3 linked regions of the Yarrowia lipolytica genome follow. The protein of the gene in region 1 interacts with the protein of each later gene in a biochemical or structural test. Links are inferred from orthologs where the notes say so. Each region holds a gene or a part of one and is shown in the gene's direction. Other genes may lie near its edges. The genes, in order: YALI1_D33696g, YALI1_E10161g and YALI1_F04848g.

Region 1 (6,345 bases):
TCCTACTCCGAAACACGGCGGTTTTGTGGCACATGGAGTTGTGTAGGGAGGTTCAATCTCCCGTTTGCCGTCTAGACAAGATTGATGATGACGTCCTGGCTGTGTCTGTCAACAACAGCGACTCGTGGAAAACGATTGTGAATTACATTGACAAGCGGTTCGAAAACTGCCTGGACGGGTGAACTGAACGTCCATCAACGACACGCGGATCCACGCCTGCTCCTCTTCATCCAGCCCACGGGCTACTCGCTCAAGCCCCTGGACATCACCGTCAAGAAGAAGCTGCACAAGAAGGTGAACCTGATCCCCGTGATTGCCAAGTCGGAAACGCTGACAAACGAGGAAATAAAGAACTTCAAACGGAAGATTCTAGCCTATATCCTGCACCAGGAGATTGACATCTTTGCCCCTCCGCAGCATGAGAACATCGACACCGAGCCCGTCACCGAGACTCACGAGATCATGTCCAAGGTGCCTTTGCAGATGTGGTAACAAGCGCCATGAGCCATCTCAGTTACTTCTTTGTGAATCTTCGGATCAGTTCCAACTGCCGCTAGAATATCTGCATCGCCTGATGGATGAACTCAAGTTAATTACAGTCGATACGAACAGGACAGTATGTACAAGTTCATCACAGTCATTATAAACAGTACAATGCAAACACCATGACCCTTTCTGTATGCCTCAGAAGAGCTTCTGTGTCGTAAATTGTCTCATTAAACATTTTGGACTTTTCTCAGCTTCAAACAAATACCTTGTAGATGGCTCTTGAGACATTTTCTTCTTCGAACCAATTGTTGATATACTTGGTGGACATCTAAGCAGTGTTTCGTCATTACTTGGATGATAAATGAATTAGAAAAAAAATTAAAAAAAACAAAAACCTTCCGGAAAAATACTCAGAGACAGTTGAACGATCAAGCCTACAAGCCAATCTATGTTGAATATAATTCCGTAGAGGGCATTAGATAGTGAAGACCTCACACTAACGTGAGTGGTAGCTGTGTAAAGTAATGCCTTTTGTGAGTATGATGAGTATTGAATAAACATATGCTGCTTCTTAATACCCTTCTCAATAGAACAATCAAGTTTACAAGCCCAGTTTAGCCACGGAGCTGTTGTTTGCTGCTGTTTTCGCCTCACGGTTCGTTCCAGCCAAAGCACCCCCTGTGGATAATTTTTTGTTTGATTTTTTGTTCAATTTTTTATTATTATTATAATCTTTTTAAATTAAATTAATTATTATTATTATATATCTTTTAAATTAATTTAATTATTATTATAATATATTATTCTCTACCTTTTTATATCATTTTTAATTTTTTGGCTCCAACTCTCCCAACGACTTCACCACAAGCCAGCCCATTTAACCAAACCCTAACCCCAGCTGCAGGGCGCGCGTTTGCCACCAAAAATAATTAGCAAAGGGGCTTCAAAACAGGTGACTACAAATAACTGAAGACAGCTCCGTCCCTACATTTGCGATGACTAAGCAACAACCCCCCAGGTCACTTGAGAGCCCACGTCTACCGGGTTGGATAGCGCCTCTCTCTATCCCTCTCTATCCCCTCCTTCTTCTCCTCCTGCTCTCGTGGCAAGTCACGTGCCCCTGCGTCATATATGCAGTGTGTTTGTCCATCTGGAGCTGGCGATATGTGGTTTAGGGGGACCGCGGCGACCGGCGGATGACCGACCGTGGAGCAGCCAGGCGTTTACTGCACACAAACGTCTTGTCTGGCTGCTGGGCTCCTTATAACCACAATTCTGGTTGCGGTTACATGGGAGTTGGCTACGTTCACTCAAACTCTATCTCCGATAGCGGTTATCTAACGTTAGCGCTCTCTCTTCTCAGACCCTACCAGACTGGTACTTGTACACACTACAAGCCCACATACGATTTTACGAGCACAAGCACGAGCACGAGCACGAGCACGAGCACGAGTTGCACACTAGACATTTCGACATCTAGTGGACACGTTTACAGACGAGTTTGGAGACAGCAGTTTGGAGACAGTTTGGAGACAGCGGTTTGGAAAGCATTTTGGTCCGCTTAGACACTACTTCAACAGTGTCGAGATCACCACATTCGACGTACAGTTGACAGTAGACAACAGAGTCTGACTACAAGAGACCGTCACACAGACTACAACAGAAAGTCTCACAGGCACAGCAGAGTCAGACAACAGCAGACAGTCTCACAGAGTATATCAGACAGTCTACAGACTACAGCCGTTCGCCCTCACTCAGACTTTCAATGTCCAGCATCAAATCATACACTATTGGCAACGAGCTAGGCCGCGGCTCGTTCGCCACCGTCTACAAAGGCGAGCACGTGGCCAGCGGCTCTCCGGTGGCCATCAAGTCCGTTCTCCGGGCTAAGCTCAACCGCAAGTTGTTGGAAAACCTGGGCTCGGAAATCAGCATTTTGAAGCAGATGAAGCACCCCCACGTGGTGGAACTGCTCGACTTCCAGGAGACCCCCACGCATTTCCACCTAGTGATGGAGTACTGCTCTCTGGGCGACCTCAGTTTCTTTCTCAAGAAAAAGAAGGAGCTGTCGGAAACGTTGCCGCTAGTGGCGTCCTTGTTGAGACGGTATCCATCCAACACCAGAGGGCTCCATGAGGAGCTGGTTCGGCACTTCGTTCATCAGCTTTCAGCGGCCCTGGAGTTTCTGCGACAAAAGAACCTCGTTCATCGAGACATCAAGCCCCAGAATCTGCTTTTGTGCCCGCCCTCGCTTTCCGAAATGGATGCCCAAAACGCCAATCTCTACGGACGATGGGAGCTGCCGATTCTCAAGATTGCCGACTTTGGATTTGCGCGCATTTTGCCGGCGTCGGCGTTGGCGGAGACCCTCTGCGGTTCCCCCCTCTACATGGCTCCGGAGATTTTGCGCTACGAAAAGTACAATGCCAAGGCCGATTTGTGGTCGGTTGGAGCCGTCACCTATGAGATGGTGGTTGGCAAGCCGCCGTTCAAGGCCAATAACTACGTGGAACTCTTGAAGACAATCGAGCAGTCCAACGACGTGATCGGATTTGGCCGAGAACCGCCCTCGGAAGACATGCAAGATTTCGTGCGATGTTTGCTCAAGAAGAATCCCGCCGATAGAATCGGCTTCAAGGAGTACTTTGAACATCCCATTATTGCCAACAAGCAGGTTATTGGCTCCGGGGAGGAATTGGACCGATCTCAGCTGGATCCCAGAATGTACATTTCCGAGTACATTCAGGAGGCCGATCTTCCTAAGTTGGACCTGGACAGGGAGATGGACAGCTTCAGCCAGAAGCGGTCAACTCAGAAATCCTCCCCCAAAAACTCCACTAATAAGACACTGTCTTCTACCGTGAAGAACCCTCTCTTGGAACTCACCTCCCCCTCTCCCGGATCTTCTCTTCTACTCACGCGCAAAAACGAGTCACTCTTCCTTGAAAGTGAATACGTTGTCGTGGAGAAGAGGCAGGTTGAAGTCAACACTTTGGCCGATGAGCTGGCACGCGAGCCAGACGAGAGACGTCCCAGTTCCGAGCGGCGCTTCTCATTGACTTACGGAGCCCCCACTGGAGCCATGGCTCGAGCCTTATCCATGGCGTCCGCCAGACTTTTGGGAGAGAAGAAGAACGGTGCTGGACACGGTTCTGGAAATGGTTCTAGAAATGGTTCTGGAAATGGTTCCGGAAACTGCGCCAGGCTGTCAGCAGGGGCAGCTCTTTCTGGAACTAGTTCTGGAACCTCTACGACCGGCAAATCGCCTCCTGTTCCTGCCACAACAACCCTATCTCTGTCGGAGCGCGAGATTGTCGAAACTCTCGAGGAAATCGCAGCCAAAGCCCGCTCAATTGCTCTCCTGGCAGATGTCAAGTATTCACAGATCCAGGACGACGTGGACAACCCAGACATGAATCTGCCTGACTCCGTCTCTTCCTCCATTGCAGAAGAAGCCATGCTCTTGTACGTCAAGACACTGTCTCTGCTGTCGCTCGCTATGGATCAAGCCGGAGCCTGGTGGTCCAATAACCACAAAGACAACAAGATGGTGTCTTCCCACTTCAATGAAATCATTCAGTGGACCCGAAGCGCTTTCAACGAGTCACTGGAGCGGGCCGAAACGGTGAAAAAGAAGGTCTCCTCAGGAACTACACACACCACGGCCGAAAAGTTGATTTTCGACCGCGCCCTGGAAATGTCACGGGACGCAGCTGTTCAGGAGATCTCCGGCGACTTCACTGGCTGCGAGTCGGCCTACACCACGTCCATTTGGATGCTGGAGGCGCTTCTGGAGGATGACGAAGATGGACTTGGCGAGGAGGATCGCAGAATTGTGGAGCGGTTCATTAGTAGTATTACTAAACGGTTGGTGATACTGAGGGGTCAGCAGGAGTAATTAGTTCTATGTGGGGGCTGCGAAGACATTGGTAGCAGTGACGTCAGTGGTGACAGAGACGACAATGGTAGCAGCGCCGACAGTGGTAGCAACAGCGCCGGCAACGGCAACACGACAAACTAACATAGGTATATTTATAGTGACTAACAGATTTGAGTTGACATATTCGGACGTATGGAGCAGGAGGTGGGCTGATTTGATGTTTTGAGATTGCCAGAAAACTGCTTTGGTGAGGCCAAATTAAAACTCTTGTATGGTGGAAGTTGTTGGTCATGTTTTTCTTTTTTTCTTTTTGAAGAATCTTGACTATCAAATACCCGTTGAAATTTCTTTTTGATTTTTGATTTTTGATTTATTTTTGATTTTTGATTTATTTTTTTTTTTTTATTTTTTATTTATTTCATTTATTTACATTTATTTACATTTATTTACATTTTTTTACATTTAATTTACATTTTATTTATTCATATTTATTCATATTTATTCATATTTATTCATATTTAATTCATATTTTATTTATATTTATTTATATTTTTTTATATTTATTATTTTATTTATTTATTTTTGATTTACGGACATGTGGCATCCTCATTCTGCTTATATTGGGATTTGAGACGGGAATCAGGATATGATGGATAGGAGTTGGCAATAAACTAATTATACGGAATTGATTCTCTTGACGCAATTATTTGATTCCCGTTGTATTTGTTTTATTCCGATATATATCCATCAGTCTAGAACGACATGTATTCTCCACCCCCTTCAACATAAAATGTAAGTCGAGAGTTGCACAAGTGAGAAGGTGGTTTGTGTAAACATGAGCTTTTGTGGACATGTATTTCACCGATTAAACTTGGATTATTTTGGTCGGTGAAGTATTCGGGATTTCAGATCAGATGAAATCTTTCTGGTTTGTTATGAGGCTTCATGCTAGTTGAACTACAATTATATAGTTGAGAGTCTAGTTAACCCAAGTATAGTCTCATGGATTTCGGTTCGAGAAGATAATTCCATTCCTGAAACAATTCAGAATAGTATAACCCACATCTTCTCTCAGAATCAACATGGCAAAACCGTCATACCACTGCTGAACATGCCTGCTCCCACAATCCAAGCACGTGAAAGTGTTGCTGTTCGAATTTCCACCTCCGGTTATTCATTCCTCAACTATACCCTAACAAAACCAACTCTTTTGGTTGGTACCCCAAACAGATTTTTGTTCTCGGAAGCCTTGTGCACCCTTGTACAATTGGTTCGGATAGAACAGGATCTGTTCTGTTTGTTGTTGACTACTACGATTCGGATTATTGCATCACTGCAAGACCTTGTAATACTACTGGGTACTCCACTAACATTCCTCATCTGCCCAACTCGGTCAACTTCTCGAAAGCCAGGGCAAAATGGTCCCGCCACAGCTCCTCAGATACGGCGTACTGATCGACCCAGAAACGGAAATTGGCATCCTCAATCAGACTCATGTCCGAGGGCATCATCACCTGACCGGTGCTGTTGACGTACTGCTTCCGTCCAGTAGGCGAGTCCACCAGAGTCCAAACGTTGCCTAACAACAACTTGTAGAACTCGTTGTCACACTTGGCTGGATTAGAAGTCCACGGACCATCGAAGCCGGACCGATGAGGGTGCAATCGGCCTAGCGAATGAGCACCAATCAAAGCGACTGTTTCCTGGTCGTTAAACCCCATTCGGGAGAAGATAGTCCGCACGTGGGACGCATCTCCCCCGCCCAAGGGTAGACGGCCGTTCGGGGGCACCAGAAGGTCGTCCTCGTAGTCAACTCGGCCATCGCGCCACTTAATTGAGGGACCTTTGCACGCCTCAATTGAGACCACGCCGGCAAGAATCCATAGGTCCGCGTACGTGATCCAGGGGTGTTTGCGCTTGATGGGTTCTAGAGACAAACGGGCCACTTCAAGCCCCACGTTGCCCTCATCGCTGGC
Region 2 (8,876 bases), on another chromosome or scaffold:
TTGGCCCACACATTATCTCTGGAGTTGGAAGAAGCCCGTAGAGCGCTCCAGTTTCTGTCTGAGAGAAAGGTGAATAGCGACTCCCAATCAATCGTGCTTGGGTACCGTGCGTGTCGTATTCGCTTGATTTGAGATTCGTCCAACCCGCTCAGATAGTCCAGTCTGTGTTTGATATTGTCGACAGAACGGTTCATGGTATGAGACAGCGCTAAAAGCAGGTCATTGTCGGAGACCCTGCCTGTCTGGGCCAGATCCTTGGAGTCGATGATCACCCGGTCATAACCTCTGGTGTATGGCAGAGACAGGGTCGACGAGGTGTTGGGTTCAGTCATAAGGTGTCGAGGTGGTTCTAGAGGAAAAATAATACTGCCGTTGGGAGCACTGGATTCTAATGTCCTGGGGTTTTTTTTTCTTCAGTAATGTAGTGTGGCGTTTTGAGTTGCGAGGCTCGGTAGGGTAAGGGTTGAGATCGGACGATGCACGTACGATCACGACAGCTTTGAGTTGGTCTTAATCTGTGCTGAACCGGCCGTTTTGCGTACGAGTTTTGCGGGTTTTTATGTTTCTGACGAAAAGAAGCAAAATCTATGATCTTTTCTGACCTTCTTCTGGTTTATATGTCTCGGAATTATGGACTGCTCGTATCGTGCAAAAGTATGTGCGATAAAAAGTGGTAGTCCATAAACTCAACAATCTAAACTTTATGCCATGCGGGTTGGGGAGGGAACCGCTGTAGTGGGCGCTATAGGCCAGTTGGACCTGATATTTTTTGAATTGCCATTCTCTGCTGCTTTCCAGATGTATTGACAAGTTTTCAGCGAGTTTTACCGCCTCTACCACCCCTTTTTCAACCTCCCTCAAAACTGCTGAAATTAACGGAACTCTAATTTAACGACTCTAGTTGGAGGCTCTTTTGTTAGCACAGTAAAACATCCAGACTTAGCAAGTGGCACCATCTTCTCTTTGGCACTTCTCCGCGGCAATGCACTTATATAACGGTGGTGATTCGGTATCGAAAAGAGCGCAACGAACTCGGGCTTCTTCTGAGTAAGAAAATCGCTGACTAGTGATAAGGACCAGGCATGCTGCTACAGTGGCCGATCTCTGACTTCAGAACCATGGACTACTCTGGTATGTTCCCATGTGCCCTTATCAAAACGGAATTACCTCCCGCGGGTACAGTACCCCTGCTTAGCGCAACTCGTATTTGACAATTTGATACGTCTGAAGACGCCCGAAAACTCACCTTTTGTGGCGGAACATTTCCCCGAGGTTACTCACTAGTGCGGGTGGCAGGTTGCACGCTACTTGTACTCGCAGTTGCCGTGGGGTACAGTACAGTCCGAGGTCGATTGGGTTTAAGGAGTTGAACCTGAGTGATGTATGGTGATAAAATGGATACTGGGCCATCACGAAGGGTCGAACACAGCAGGTGCACTTCAGCAGTTGAGACCCCTGTCGTATGTCTGCATTGCTGCCGGGTCTGCTCTCTGGAATGTCTCCAGATTATTCGAGTCTAGCCTGCAACTAAAGCGCTCACATGGGTTGCGACTCTTGTGGAAAGCAGGTTTTGCCGACATTAGTCTGGGGAAATGTAGGCAGACGTTCCACGCTGAGTTGCGTGTTGCTGCCTATGTCAGGAGTTGCGAATGGCTTTTTGATTAAAACTTCTCCGGGGCTGGACCAAGGTCACATGCACTTGTTTCAGGGCAATGGTGATATGCGACTGTCTCTTTGGACGGGTGAAGTGAAGTTCGCTTTCAGAAATTGCTTTTCGACAGCTGAAAGCGGAGAGGAATGAGAACTCTTGAGGCACATTTGACTGATGCTGGTAGGGGTATGGTACTACAATCAGTAGAGGTTCATCATCTACTACACATTACCGAACAGTACTTACTACTCGAAACCCTCCTATCAAGTTCCAGTACAGTCGCGTAACAAAATAATCAGTGCTTTCTCGAGAGACTAGCCTCTGCCTACAAGTACTATACCGCCGAGAGTTGTTTACAAGTACCAGGGCAGTACAGGGTTGAAATATTGAAGGATTATAAGTACTGTACTTGTACTTGTACACGACTTCGATTTAGAACATTGTTAATGAACCTCACGCTGAGATAACACTACCAACTTGCCGTATCTTATATCCATTACACCCATATTCGTCTCGAGGAAGAACATGACTTCTCGTTACACTACAGATTGAACTGCAACAGTATCCCCTTTATCTGTTCCAATTATTGGAATAGTTGAATTGGAACTCTTTATCTGGTAATAGTCGAGTCCCTAAGGGAAGATGTTTACATGTCTACAGATCATGATGGTTCGCTCTTGGGTCAGGGAAAAGGACATGTTACATCAATCAAGATATGTTACAGTCATCAGTAACGACATATAATCTAGACTTGCTCAGTTCAGCATCCTTTCTTTGATAGATATACTTTGGAGATACAAGATACCGTACCTCCAAGCAGTGCTTTCATCCGGACCTCTTGCTAATCAAGAGAGCCCTAACCAAGGGAGCGAGACCGCAAGCACAACACACTACAAGCACAAATACTGCAAGCTACAAATCCCTCACGAGATCCAACTTCCCTTTTATCACCCTATGTCACACCTCTATCTCCAAGTACTGTACAGTAACTACAGAACTTGGAGATACAGAATTACAGAACTACTACTCCAACCACTCCAACAAGATATGCAAGATTAGCTCTATTTGGTATGAAACTCAGACCTAATAATCGTCATCTGACTGGGTACTCAGGGGAGATAGCAGGGACTCTTGGAGGCTATCAATGAGAAAGGGATAGTTCTGGAAGTAGTTGAATGTAGTTAGTAAGTCGTTTCCCCTTCTCTCTATGCATTTACGGTCTCGCTAAGGTCTCCCGTTCTTCCCCACTTGGCCCGCCCTCTACACTCCCTACACTCCCAACAAAGATAGTTACATCTCACCTTATCGTTGCCTGGACGGTAATTAAACTTTGACCCACATGATAGTGCATCATGGCACAGCTGCAGACCCCTCCGAAAACACCACCTTCATAACCTGACACACAACACACAACAACACTTCCCGCATCTAATACACCGCTTCAACACATGAACTGGATCCCCAACGTGCAGAAGCGGGCGTTTCACTACGTGCTGAACCGCCTGGCGCTGTTTTCGGACCTGGAGCTCGACAATATGGACATTTCGCTAGGGACGGCGCAGAAGGCGGCGCTAACTAACGTCAAACTCGATCCCGACCGTGTCAGTCTTCCAGCAGGCATGTACATGCGCTCTGGAAAGATCGACGAGGTGTCGGTGGAGATGCGGCTTTTGGGGGGCGCGGGAATTGCCGTCAAGATCGATGGCGTGCATATCACGGCATCCATGAAACAGATGGACGTGGAGACCGCCACCGAGCACGTGGAGGAGTTTCTGGAAAGGACGACGGCTGATCTGGCGGCATCGATCCTGTCGGAAGACCTGTCCGCGTCACTACAGATCGATCCAGCAGAAGAGCCACCACTGCTGGGCATGGGCGGGTCAGGAATCAGTGAGGCACTAGTCAAAAAGGTGACACAGACAGTGCTAAGTCAACTGACAGTGGATGTCACAAACGTGCACGTGACGCTATTTGTGGCTGCAGACGACAAAATGGATCTAGTTGTGGACGAGGTCAGACTGAGACCACAAGGAGGACAGGAGATGGCCCTGGAAGTGAGGGGAGTCAAGATGAAGGTAATGGACAAGAAGGCTCGAGGCACAAGCGGCCCGGTAACAGCAGGATCCACAGCACATGCAACAACAGGGTTCACCTCAGAATCAGATTCAGATTCAGACACAGACCCGTTCTCAAATGCAAAGAAGTCTCTCCTTCAATCAACCATTTTTTCGCATGAGGAGGCCAGCAGCATTTACATGAGTGCGATAGCCGAGTCTGCCAATCTCGGATTTGAGTCTGATCCACTCTTTGGGGTGTTTTACGTCGACACTATTGACGTTCTGGTTTTCCTAGGAGAGGAAATGAGAGTCAGTTGTGAGGTCGGTATTGTCAGAGCCAGTCTCGACCTGTTGCCGACTGTGATTCTATCATTGGTTAAGGTGGGAAATGGTGGAAGTGGTGGTAAGAAGTCTCGTGATTCAGAAACAAAAGAGGGGACTGCTATGGACTTGAATATGAGCATCAAGTCGATTTCGGCATCGATTTGCCAGTTGGGTGACGACTGGGAGTTTAAGAACATTGACACAAATCTGCTTTTCTCTCTCTCCGATATTTCTGGATCGTCTGGAGCTTTCCACAAGCTCCAGATTGGTGTTTGTGAGGTGAAGAGGGGCTCTACTCGAGTGTTTGGCTTCGAAAGCGACGAGAAGAACACAGACGATGAGGAACCCACACCACGAGATTCCGATATTCTCCTCAAAGCCTCTTCGGCTTCTTTCACGTTGGTTCTACCCAAGAAGGCTGTTGGCGTGTTTACCATCCCTGATCTCATCGACGTGGTTAGCTTGATTACTTATCTCTTGTCGTTAATTGAGTCCAAGCAGCAGAAGGCGGCAACTATGACTGAATGTAGTGAAAGGGCCGGCGCATCGAAGACTACTGTTCAAACAAACACTTTTGATTTCGACGTCGCCGGACACAAGCTGTACATTTTGCCTATTCGACTATCTAACGGCCAGATGTCACTATCACGTGTTTCGTTCGGCGATGTTCATGTCAAGGGAATTTCGTTTGAGAATTCTATCGTGTCGGTTGACAAGGTGGATTTTGATATTGGTCTGCCGATCGTTGAGGAGCTCCACCAGCTACTTCTACCTATCATCGATGCGATGAACAGTGCAAAGAACCGACCAGTTCCCGCATCAGTACAGACCGCACCCCCCAAGCTGCTTCGGATCGTCGAGGAGCCTGTGAATGCCTCCTCTCTAGTCATCAATGTGGCGAGGGTGAAAGGAAAGGTTGATCTAGGTGGAAAAGTCGGGGTCATTGAGGTAGTTCTAGGTGGGATTTCTGTTACTGGACCTACTGACAGGATTGAGATCTCCACCGTCGAAATCGGAAGAGATTTGAGCGATCTGGGATTATCAAAGAAGTGGCTTTTGCATCCGCTTAAAAGAGTGAGTATCAATGCGTGATGGAGTATTGACATTTTACATATACTAACACAGGAAAGTAATGTTGTGGTGGAGCTCTCCAGCGGTCAGATTCAGCTCATTACGGTGAAGAACTGTGCACTTGAGTTTTACACTGAGCTACTGGAGCTATTTGGAGGTAAAGGTGATGACACCAAGGCAGCTGAGTTGCAAGAGTCATCTTCACCAGACTCGAGTTCACGTGAGTCCTCCTCTGGCTCGGAATCACCTCCTAAAAGAATTCCTTTGCAGATTCACAACTGCGCTGTTGGACTGAATCCTACAAACTCATCTTCCTCAGCCCAGTTCATTGTCAAGCATGTGACATGTGAAATCAAACCATCACCCACTTTCTCCATGACGTCTTTCATTGGATCAGCATCTCTTCTTTTGATTGATGATGCATCACTGGTTACACCTAATCCTACGGATCTTATGTCTTCCTACCTCGAACAGTACACCTCTGTTGCTAGCTTGACTGCTACGTCTATCTCCATTTCTACTTCGCCTGGTAACCCCACCTGCATCAATATCAATGGAGATACAGTCACACTGAGCACTTGCGCAGATTCTACACAGACTCTTATCCATCTGATCAACAGTCTGAAGCCGGCTGTTGAATTGAGCGGTGCCAAGTTCCAGCTGGAGACTCTGGACCCGTTTCTCAACACATTCCAAGACGTGGATGACTGCTTCTTCAAGGCGAAAAACAAAGACGCGTGTGAATCGTCTTGTTCCTCTGACAATGACGACATTGATATGGTGTCAGACGATGTTCCCAACAACATGTCTTTTGTAGAGAGTTATTATGGGGGTGACAAGCCGAGTCAGAGTCGAAAGAGTGGACGTCAAAAGATGGCTGAAAGCTACACTCATGCTGATTTCCTCCTTGATTCCGATCTGGATAGTCTGGTGAAGAGGGAGAGAGTCCGGTTCGAGGAGATCTGCTTTGAAGAGGATTATTTCGATAAAGAGGAGGAAGACATGCCCGTCATGAGCCGTCCTCGTGCATCTTCTCATGATCTAGCTTCTTCAAATGAGCTACTCACACCGCCCACGGTGGTTATCAACATTGACTTGATTCACAACATTGTCTGCAACTTTCATGACGGTTACGACTGGCAGTACACACGAAATGAAATCAATGGAGCTGTCGACGGCCTCAAAAAACGCATGAAGGAGCGTCCAGTGGTAGAAGAGCCACCCGTAATGACCACCGACCTACTCTTCAACTCAATCTACATTCAGGCAAAGGACGAAGACGATCTGGATGATGTTGTCGGGGAACAGACTGAGCCAGCCAAACCGAAGGAGGCCAATAAATCGCGACGTGGACTTCTTTCTCGGTCAAGCAATCCCCTAGTCCAGGTCTGGCTCCAAGGAATTGCATGTCTTCTTACTGTCTATGCTGGTCTTGAAGACCCCGATCTTCCTCCTGGCCAGGTTCTCAACTCTCTGGATGTTAAAATCAAGGACGTGGAAATCATTGACCATGTGCCAACGTCTACGTGGAACAAATTCCTGACGTACATGCGATCACGTGGAGAACGAGAAGCAGGCGCAGTCATGGCTCACATCACCATGCAAAACGTGAAACCTGTTTCTACACTGTCTTCCCAAGAGGTGATTTGTCACGTGACCATTTTGCCTCTCCGGCTCCATGTGGATCAGGACACGCTTGACTTTTTGACCCGGTTCTTCAACTTCAAGGATGTGCGTACCACTGCTCCCCCAGATGAAACGTTCATTCAAAAGTTTGATATTCGTGATGTGCCTGTCAAGCTCGACTACAAACCTAAGAAAGTGGATTATTCGGGTCTCAAGTCCGGCAAGTCGACCGAGCTTATGAACTTTTTCATCCTGGACGAGTCGGACATGGTGCTTCGGCGCATCAAGCTGCGTGGTATCACCGGGTTTGCTGATCTTGGCCAGAAGCTGAACGATATCTGGATGCCAGACGTACGACGAACGCAATTACCAGGAGTTCTGGCCGGTGTGGCTCCTGTTCGTCCCCTTGTGAACCTCGGAGGTGGAATCCGCAACCTCATTGTTGTACCTGTTCGAGAGTACAAGAAGGATGGACGGGTGGTTCGTTCACTCAACCAAGGAGCATATGCATTTGCCAAGACGACCACCAACGAGCTGGTACGGTTTGGAGCAAAATTGGCGGTTGGTACGCAGAATTTACTGGAGGGTGTGGTGAGTACAGAACGAGCGGGCGAGTCTCGTGATTTGGACGACTCGGATCTCGAGTCCACAACCAAGTACTACACTTACATGGGCTACTCCGACTCCAACAACAAGCTTATTTCTCTATATGCCAATCAGCCCTTGGGTGTGTATGCTGGTCTTCAGGATGCATACTCTTCGTTCGGCAAGCATATGAATGTGGCCAAGACCGCCATTCACAATCTGAGTGAAGACATATCTGAGGCAGATACGGCCGGAGCAGCCGCCTACGCAGTGGTCAAGGCTGCCCCCGTGGCTTTGATCCGTCCTATAATCGGAACTACGGAGGCAGTTTCCAAGACGCTGTTTGGAGTGGCCAATGAGATGGATCCCAGTGGTCGAGAGCTTGCCCGCGATAAGTATAAGGAGGCAAACTAGTATATAGGAGGAATGCATCGGCTTATTATCTTCCGAGTACAGTACTACTACAATCGTAGTACAGTACAGTGTATTATACACAGCTGACGATCGTTCTTAGGCGTGGCTGATGACGTCAAAACAAGCTTCCCCCACTTTCCAATCAGGAATTATTAGTCGATGGACAAGTGTAATTGAGGAGGTTGGAGCGGTGAATACGTTCCAGATTCTTCGTTGATCAAATATTAGGGCCTGTAACTCTAGATTCATACAACAATCATTTCCATCGCTCTACTAAAACACTTTCTATGGTCGTTAGTATTAATCCATCTATCCCCGCCGACAGCCTTGTCCGGAAACTCAAATGTGCACCAAATCATGCACTCCACATCTTATCTCTTCTGACACATCACCACACGAAATACGACAAGATGATCAACCTGTTCAAAGGCCACCCCAGCGACGACTTATTTCCGGAAAAGGAAGTGTTGGCCGCCGCCGCGTCATTGCTGTCACGTGACCGCCCGGAAGACGACGACGACGAAAACCGACATCCCCTTACCTATGGGCCTGATCAGGGTGCTTTGTACGTCCGGCAGCTGATCGCCAAGTGGGTCACGGAGCGGGAGCTGCTGGAAAAGACTCCGATTGCTGCCAATTGCATTAATCTCACCTGTGGCGCTTCTTTTGGTTTTGCAGATATTCTGCAGTCTTGCACTCTTCCCCAGACTGGTTACACTCGACGGGCATTCATTGTTTCGCCGTGCTACTACCTCATCAATTCGGTTTTCATTGATTGTGGGTTCAAGGGCAAACTGACCGCAATTCGAGAGGATTTCGGACGCCTGGATCTGACCAAACTGGAAGCGGATCTGGAGAAGTACTCTTCCGAGGAGGGCCATGAACACGAAAAGTCACCTCTGGACGTTGTGGGAGACGAATCGCGACCCACCAAGAAGATTTACAAGTTTGTCTTCTACTTTGTGCCCACATTCAGTAACCCCGGAAGTGCAATCATCCCTCTGGAGGACAGAGTCAAGCTGCTGGAACTCGCTCGAAAGTACGACATGCTCATTGTGTCTGACGACGTGTATGACTTTCTGGAGCACTCGATTGAGCGGGAGAATCTGCCTCCCAGAATGGTCACCCTCGATCGTGAGACTGTAACC
Region 3 (6,396 bases), on another chromosome or scaffold:
GCTCAAAAGGATGATTCATTGTTTCTATCCAATTCAAGTCCATTTCAACTGATTCTATCACGATTCAAGTTGTTTTTATCACGATTTAATGTGATTCTGTAATGTCACTCTGATAAGACCAATATTCCGCGAATTGGAGTTGTCCGAGTGAGATGCAGTTGAAAACTATTAGAGGCTTCTGGGCATGACTAGAATCCGATACCACCTTAGTAAAGTGTATTCGACATACTCTTAATCTGTAGTCTCAGGAAGCGAGAACAGTTCAAACTGACTTCAGCTTGTGACACCAATTAACCACATCCACACACAAACACCACGCCGAATTGGAGACAGAACATGATTGCGTCCGCCGCTTTGTTGTGTTTGTGTTGTTGGATTTGGGGCGAGTGATGTGAAGGAAGAAGAGTCGAAAAGCGCGAGGTGGGTGTTAAAGTAGAGTCGCCATAGTGTGGTAATGATGACTGGTCATATATGCATGTTTCCAAGTAAAGTTAAGTAAAAAGGGAGGACATTTTTTTTGCTATTATGGCTACGGAATGGAATTTTTGTATGACAAGAATGATAATTTATTACATGTTTTCATAGTCCTCGTTTCCAGCTACATTTCTATACAACTTTTACTTCTTCACCACCTCTGCAACATTGGATTTGAACCCCCAGTAACTTTTTCCTTTAACAAATTCCCAACTATAACTAATCCAACTAGCCTCGTTAATTGTATGCTTCCATCTCGCTCAATAATACTCGGATTGCCACCACGAGAGTTGCTTTCGCTTCGGAATCGTCCGCTCTCTAAAATGGGCCCTTCTCCGATGTCTGCACATTTTCCCGGGACTATGTGCGCCGTATCGTTTGCTCTCGCGCTCGCATCCGTCGTTTCCCAGCAACGATAAGCCCGATATTAAAAACAGACCTAATCTGATGCGCATAAAATAGACTCTGGGGATCCTGTGACTGGAGTGTCCGGATCAGACGGCAGGAAGATACGTCTTTGGAGATTGCGGAGAGACGTCCAAGTCATGTGACACGCGGAGGGGGGGAGGGGGAGAATTGGGTCACGTGACCGGCCCCATGGTCGCCCTCTTTGCCTTTTTTCTGTCTCTTTTTTTGGTCCTTTTTCCGGCTCACGACACCGTGGCTTTCGGTGACGTAATCAGAGTCTAAAATGCACCTCATGTTCTGATAAAGACTCTGATAGCAGATAATGTAGGCTGTGCGTTTGGGGGGAGACTTGAGGGGTTACCTTATATATGGCTAAAAAAATCGGGGGCAAAAAAGCATTAAAATAATGAAAAAGGGCCTAAAAATATTTTATAAATATTTTTAAAAAAAACCGCTAGTAAATTCGAAACGCCGCTGGTAAATTCGAAACGCCGCTGGTAGATTCGGCTAGGGAAACTCCCCCCGGACATTCTTTTTCTGCCAATTTCCCGCAATTTCCCCTTTCAATCTCGCCATTCCACCTTCCCTTATGAGTCATGTCTGTCACTGGTGCTACAAGTAGTGCAAGTACTGTACGTACATACTGTACATAGATTGTAGTAGGTGGATACCGACAGTGACGGATACTGGGTGGATACTGGGTTGTTGGCGGGAAATGGGTCTGCTGCAATCAAACTGTTTATGAGTCACACATGCTTCTTCGTCTCCCTTTCTCTCTCTCTTTCCCGCTCCAGTCTATACGCCATGTGGGTAAATAACTCGACGCCACCTGCTCCTGTAGCTCCTGTCATACTGCCCCTTATAGAGACGTTGTATCTTAACGTTATCAGAGGTGATTTCTCATGCAAGGGTTTGGTTTGATTACCGGCGCGGGCGGGCGCGAGCTGGGCGGTGGCCACGTTTTGTGTCTGGTTGGCGGGCAGTGGTACCGGGTCAGCAGACGGGTTTGGCAAGTAGCGGCGGTTTGCGGTAGCAGGGAGGCAGTATCACGAGACTGGCTCCGTTCACGTGACAATCCCTCGTAGTGCGTCTGGGCTGCAAGGCCATGTTGATGTGGGCCTGAAAGTAGGTTGACTGGCCAAACCTCCTACTATTATTCTGGTTATTGACTCACTCGGAGCAACTGCCCTGTGACGAGACCGCCGGCCGTTTTTTTCTTCTCTTCTTTGCGAGTGGCACAAACAGACGGACACAAACAGACCGACACACGCCGCTGACACCAGACACACTCTTCTGTGGCGTCACCTCCAGACCGGTGACACACACACAAGCACAACTGCGGACACGAACACGGACACAAACAGCACAAACAGCTCAAACAGCTCAAACAGCTCAAACAGCTCAGCAGAAGAGCTCACCACAAACACCACAAACACCACAAACAGCTCAGCACAAACAACACACCACACCACAAACGCATTCTGGTGTCCAGACAACAGCTGCTAGACACAACAGCACTCACAAGTCGTAGACACAACCAGCATGTCGTTCCAAGGCACGTCGTCCGGGTCGTCGCACTCATCCAAGTCGAAACTCAACCAGGTGGTGCAAAACTTTTTCTCCAAGGCCACCCAGGTGGTGGTGCAGGCGCGTCTCAACCCCCGGCTGCGTGAACAGCGCCAGAGCGGCGACAAACACAAACTCAACAAATGGTTCAATCTCGAAACAGACGAGCTGGAGGCCTACCGTGAAGATCTCAAGCTGTGGCGAACCATCGACATCTACAACATGGACAAGATGCCTCCCGTGGTCGTGGAGACCTATCTGGACATGCGCCATCTTTCGCCCAACCAGACGCTGGTGCTAGAAGACGCCTTTGGCAAACGGTGGAACGCCAGCTTTGGAGGAAGGAAAACAGAGGTGGTGCTGGAGCGGTGGGTCATTGAGATTCAGAGACCCGACCCCCAAGCAGGAGGAGCTACAACGTCCCCAGCGTCGTCCACAGAGCTCCCCATGGCCTACAAAAAGTGCATCTTGCTGTTCCGCTCTCTGTACACTTATTGTAGGCTGCTGCCAGCGTGGACGCTGCAAAAGCGGCTTAGCAAAAGCAAACTGAGCACCAGTCCGCTGCGCATCGGCTGCAGGGTGCTTAACGGCTCACAGCCCATCTCTTCGCGTGGGCGGGTTGGCTTGAGCAAACTCATAGCTGGGAGCTCCGAATCCCAGCATCTCCAGACCTTTTCGTTCGACCCCGTGGAAATCCCCTCGGGCGTCTTCAAGATCAGCGTGAGCTACCGGGTCAACTGCAACTTTGCCGTGGACGACTCGGAGGCCATGCTGTCATCACAGTTCCTGCGCATCGACGAGGAGAAGCCCGTGGTGCCCCCCAGCCCGCCGGTCAAACACCCCTCCATGGCGGCCCCCAACTTGCATTACATCACGGGCCTGCCACGGAGACATTCGCATTCTCAGGGCGTGGGAGTGAGTGGGGCGGCCATTGTTCCCACCTCTGTGTCATCTGTCACAGACTACATGGAGAGGAGAAGGAGCAGTGGCGCTAGTGGAGTTGGAGCAACTGGAGGGGGTCTTGCTGGCACCTCTGGAGGCTCTGGCGGAGTGAGTGGAGGAGTTAGCGGCGGATCTGGAGGCTCAGGGGGCTCTGGTGGCTGGGGAGGTGAAGAGGGCTCGCCTGGTCCCGCAGCGACCTCGGCTAGCCCCTCCACACCTCCCTTTGCGCGTGTCCCCTCATCCTCCTCCCTTGCGGCGCTCCGAATCCCCCGCAGAACTATCTCAAACTCGTCCACGTCCTCCACCAATAACGCACGGGTGGTCACCACGCCTGGGTACACGCCTTCGGCGTACGAACAGGCGATTTCGTCGTCCGGAGGGTCGTCACGTTCCGGGTCCGTGCCCAAGTACTCGTCATCGTTCGGTACAAGACAGTGGAACCGTTCAGGCTCGATCAGCAGCACGCGGCGTCGAAACTCAATGCTGGTGGGCTCGGCTGAGTCGGCCATGTCTTCGGGCTCCTCTCTTATGGAACCTGGATCGGGTTTTATCGACATTGAGGATCCCACCGACGTGTCCGACTTTGTCAAGATGGTGGACTCGATCAAACCCGGGTCCCCGTACTCGCTGCCGTCTCCCCGCAAGGGCAGCGATCCTTTGGCGCGGTTCCAGCAGCTCAAGGGATCGCACGCGGGTATTGCCGACAGCATCACGTCATCAATCTACCACCACCAGCCCAGTCCTCCGTACGTGCGGTCCAAACTGAGCGGCGAGGCGAACCTGGAGGCGATTTCAAGCCTTCCCCGGCCCGTGACGGTGCCTCCATCGCCTCGCAAGCTAGAGACGCAGATGCAGCCCATTTCGCTGGCGGACCAGCATACCAGCGAGTACCATCAGCTGCAGCAGCGGACCAGTGCCCGTCCCCAGGCTCATTCGTACTCTGAGCGTGACCAGCTTGATAACTCTCATTACAAGGCGTTGGAGCGATATGATCTTGTAGGAGCTTCTCCAAGCGTGGTGGGCTCTAGATATTATACCGAGCACGACCGGGGACGAGGCGAGAAGCGATACTCGGTGGCTCCATTGCCGGGTCTAGAGTTTGACGAGGACGATGATTTGTTGTTTGCCATGAGTGATATGGCTATGGGGGATTCGGCTTCTGGAGGAAATGTGAGGACATAGTCTTGTGTTTCCGAGCACACCTCCTAAAAGATGATGGCATACACTACCAGAGTACCAACACCAGCAGAGGACATAACTTATATCAATGACACATACTTATTATATTTATACGATTTACAGAAGGGAGATATGCCACAAGTGTAGGCAGTACATACTGTACTCGTAGGAAGACCTTGAAGGGCACTGACCCCTGAACTAGCAACGACCCATATCGGCACCCATGACTCAAAATGGGTATCATTATTATCCGACTGCGGGGGGCTCTGTACTAATATATGTAACTAGCTGTTTTCTTGTCTACACCATCAGTTGTTGACATTTCTTTATCCTACGTCACGTGAACATATCACCACCACGGAAGGTTTCGGGGCCATATGGGGAAAACGGGACGGCACTTTGTCGTTTCATTGGTACGGATATTTGTTGATATTTTTACATTGAAATACTTTCCCGACTCAGGGCTATCTTTTGGTGTAAAAAGTTGTTTGGTGGCATGTATATTGGGTAAACTGACTTCACCAGTCTCAGAGATGAGTGTAGGTCTGCTTTTTCGATACCAACGAGGAGGGGAATCACGTGAGCAGAGCAGAGCAGCCACCATTTTTACAGTCTTATTCCAGTGCTGCATCACTGTAGACACTCTTTCAGGAGACTCTGATTTTATCTGCTATTTTTCCACATTTTTTCCGATTTTCGGCCGGATATTTCACGCTTCCGATACGCCTGCATTAGGCTGCATGATATCGCAGATTCACACCCCAAGTCACACTACTACTACACTACAATACAACACCCTTTCGTCCAACTATGAGCATAGCCAACACGGTGAGCGTGGACTCGGTATCGCATGCTCTGGCGTGCGAGCTGTCTGCTGACGGGTCGGTTTTGGCGGTGGCTTTTGTGGACAAGTCGGTGCGTCTTTTCATCCGACAGGACGACTTGTGGACCCGGCAGATGACGCTCTTTCACAATGACGGAGCCGTGGAACACATGAGATGGCTAGAGTGGGTTGCGAAGGACGCAAGTCCGACCTTGGCGATTTCGTCAGGCCAGGAGGTGGCCATCTTTGAGCCCTACAACCGGGTTTCTCCCGTGACCAAAATCTCGGCCCCGTTTGTGGTGTGCGGATTCAGCCAATCAGGGGACTATCTCATGGTCTGGGGATGTTCCAACACGATTCTTTTTCAAAAGTGGAAAAACTACGACACGGAAGCAGAGGTAGCCCAAATCCTGGTACCATTGCCCTCGTCGGTGGGATGGCCCCTGGCAGCCCCTTTCCAGCAGTATCGTGACTTTCTGACGGTCGGAAAACGCAATGCAAGCATCTCCGCATGGTCTATAGTGGACCATATGCACGAGTCACGGGTTTGCATGCCTGTGTCTTTGTACGAGTCACGGTTGACAGACTCGGCCTATGGGCCTGGCCTGTTGGTGGAAAAAATCGGGTCTTCGCACTGGGTGGTTGTGCAAAAGAATGGATGGACGCTCGTCAAGTGGGAAACAGAAGATGACGAGCCTGGCATCCACCAGGAGATTTCTGCCGACTTGGAGGGCGTCAAACAGGTGATTGTGACGGACCCCAGTGCCAAGTCGCCGTCTTTCGGGTTTGTGACCAAGAAACACACCGTTTTCTGGGTCTCCAACGGCCATTCCCAGCTTGTGGATGCTCCTGAAGGTGCATCTACGCTCGACTGCTGTTTCTATGACTGCCAAACAAGCAGGATTGTTGGTTTGTTTACAGAAAATGGGGAGACACTGACAGACAGTATCAATGTGTCTCAGTGGCCGCTGACTTGGTCTGGAGAGAAGCGTGCTATTCAGGTG

Evidence for each region.
Region 2: of the proteins of YALI1_D33696g (region 1) and YALI1_E10161g, one has a biochemical effect on the other in vitro, tested with the Saccharomyces cerevisiae proteins (2 studies listed by BioGRID). The link is inferred for Yarrowia lipolytica from reciprocal best matches to the Saccharomyces cerevisiae genes ATG1 and ATG2.
Region 3: the proteins of YALI1_D33696g (region 1) and YALI1_F04848g form a complex in vitro, tested with the Saccharomyces cerevisiae proteins (6 studies listed by BioGRID, with this or other methods). The link is inferred for Yarrowia lipolytica from reciprocal best matches to the Saccharomyces cerevisiae genes ATG1 and ATG13.

What each region holds. Positions count from the first base shown.
Region 1 is NC_090773.1:3,365,499-3,371,843, reverse strand, and holds YALI1_D33696g (uncharacterized protein), read left to right. Parts: upstream 1-2,254; coding exon 2,255-4,387; downstream 4,388-6,345. Other genes in the region: YALI1_D33653g (uncharacterized protein), read right to left, coding at 5,746-6,345. UniProt on the Saccharomyces cerevisiae protein: Serine/threonine protein kinase involved in the cytoplasm to vacuole transport (Cvt) and found to be essential in autophagy, where it is required for the formation of autophagosomes.
Region 2 is NC_090774.1:1,013,048-1,021,923, forward strand, and holds YALI1_E10161g (uncharacterized protein), read left to right. Parts: upstream 1-3,099; coding exon 3,100-5,106; intron 5,107-5,157; coding exon 5,158-7,728; downstream 7,729-8,876. Other genes in the region: YALI1_E10134g (uncharacterized protein), read right to left, coding at 1-332; YALI1_E10140g (uncharacterized protein), read left to right, coding at 983-1,001, 1,049-1,284; YALI1_E10148g (uncharacterized protein), read left to right, coding at 1,798-1,924, 1,970-2,118; YALI1_E10210g (uncharacterized protein), read left to right, coding at 8,016-8,876. UniProt on the Saccharomyces cerevisiae protein: Lipid transfer protein required for autophagosome completion and peroxisome degradation. Tethers the edge of the isolation membrane (IM) to the endoplasmic reticulum (ER) and mediates direct lipid transfer from ER to IM for IM expansion.
Region 3 is NC_090775.1:480,877-487,272, reverse strand, and holds YALI1_F04848g (uncharacterized protein), read left to right. Parts: upstream 1-2,424; coding exon 2,425-4,572; downstream 4,573-6,396. Other genes in the region: YALI1_F04860g (uncharacterized protein), read right to left, coding at 914-1,099, 1,150-1,176; YALI1_F04855g (uncharacterized protein), read right to left, coding at 1,337-1,579, 1,635-1,733; YALI1_F04849g (uncharacterized protein), read right to left, coding at 2,045-2,255, 2,301-2,362; YALI1_F04818g (uncharacterized protein), read left to right, coding at 5,380-6,396. UniProt on the Saccharomyces cerevisiae protein: Activates the ATG1 kinase in a nutritional condition dependent manner through the TOR pathway, leading to autophagy. Required for autophosphorylation of ATG1 at 'Thr-226' and its dimerization. May also be involved in the regulation of autophagy through SNF1.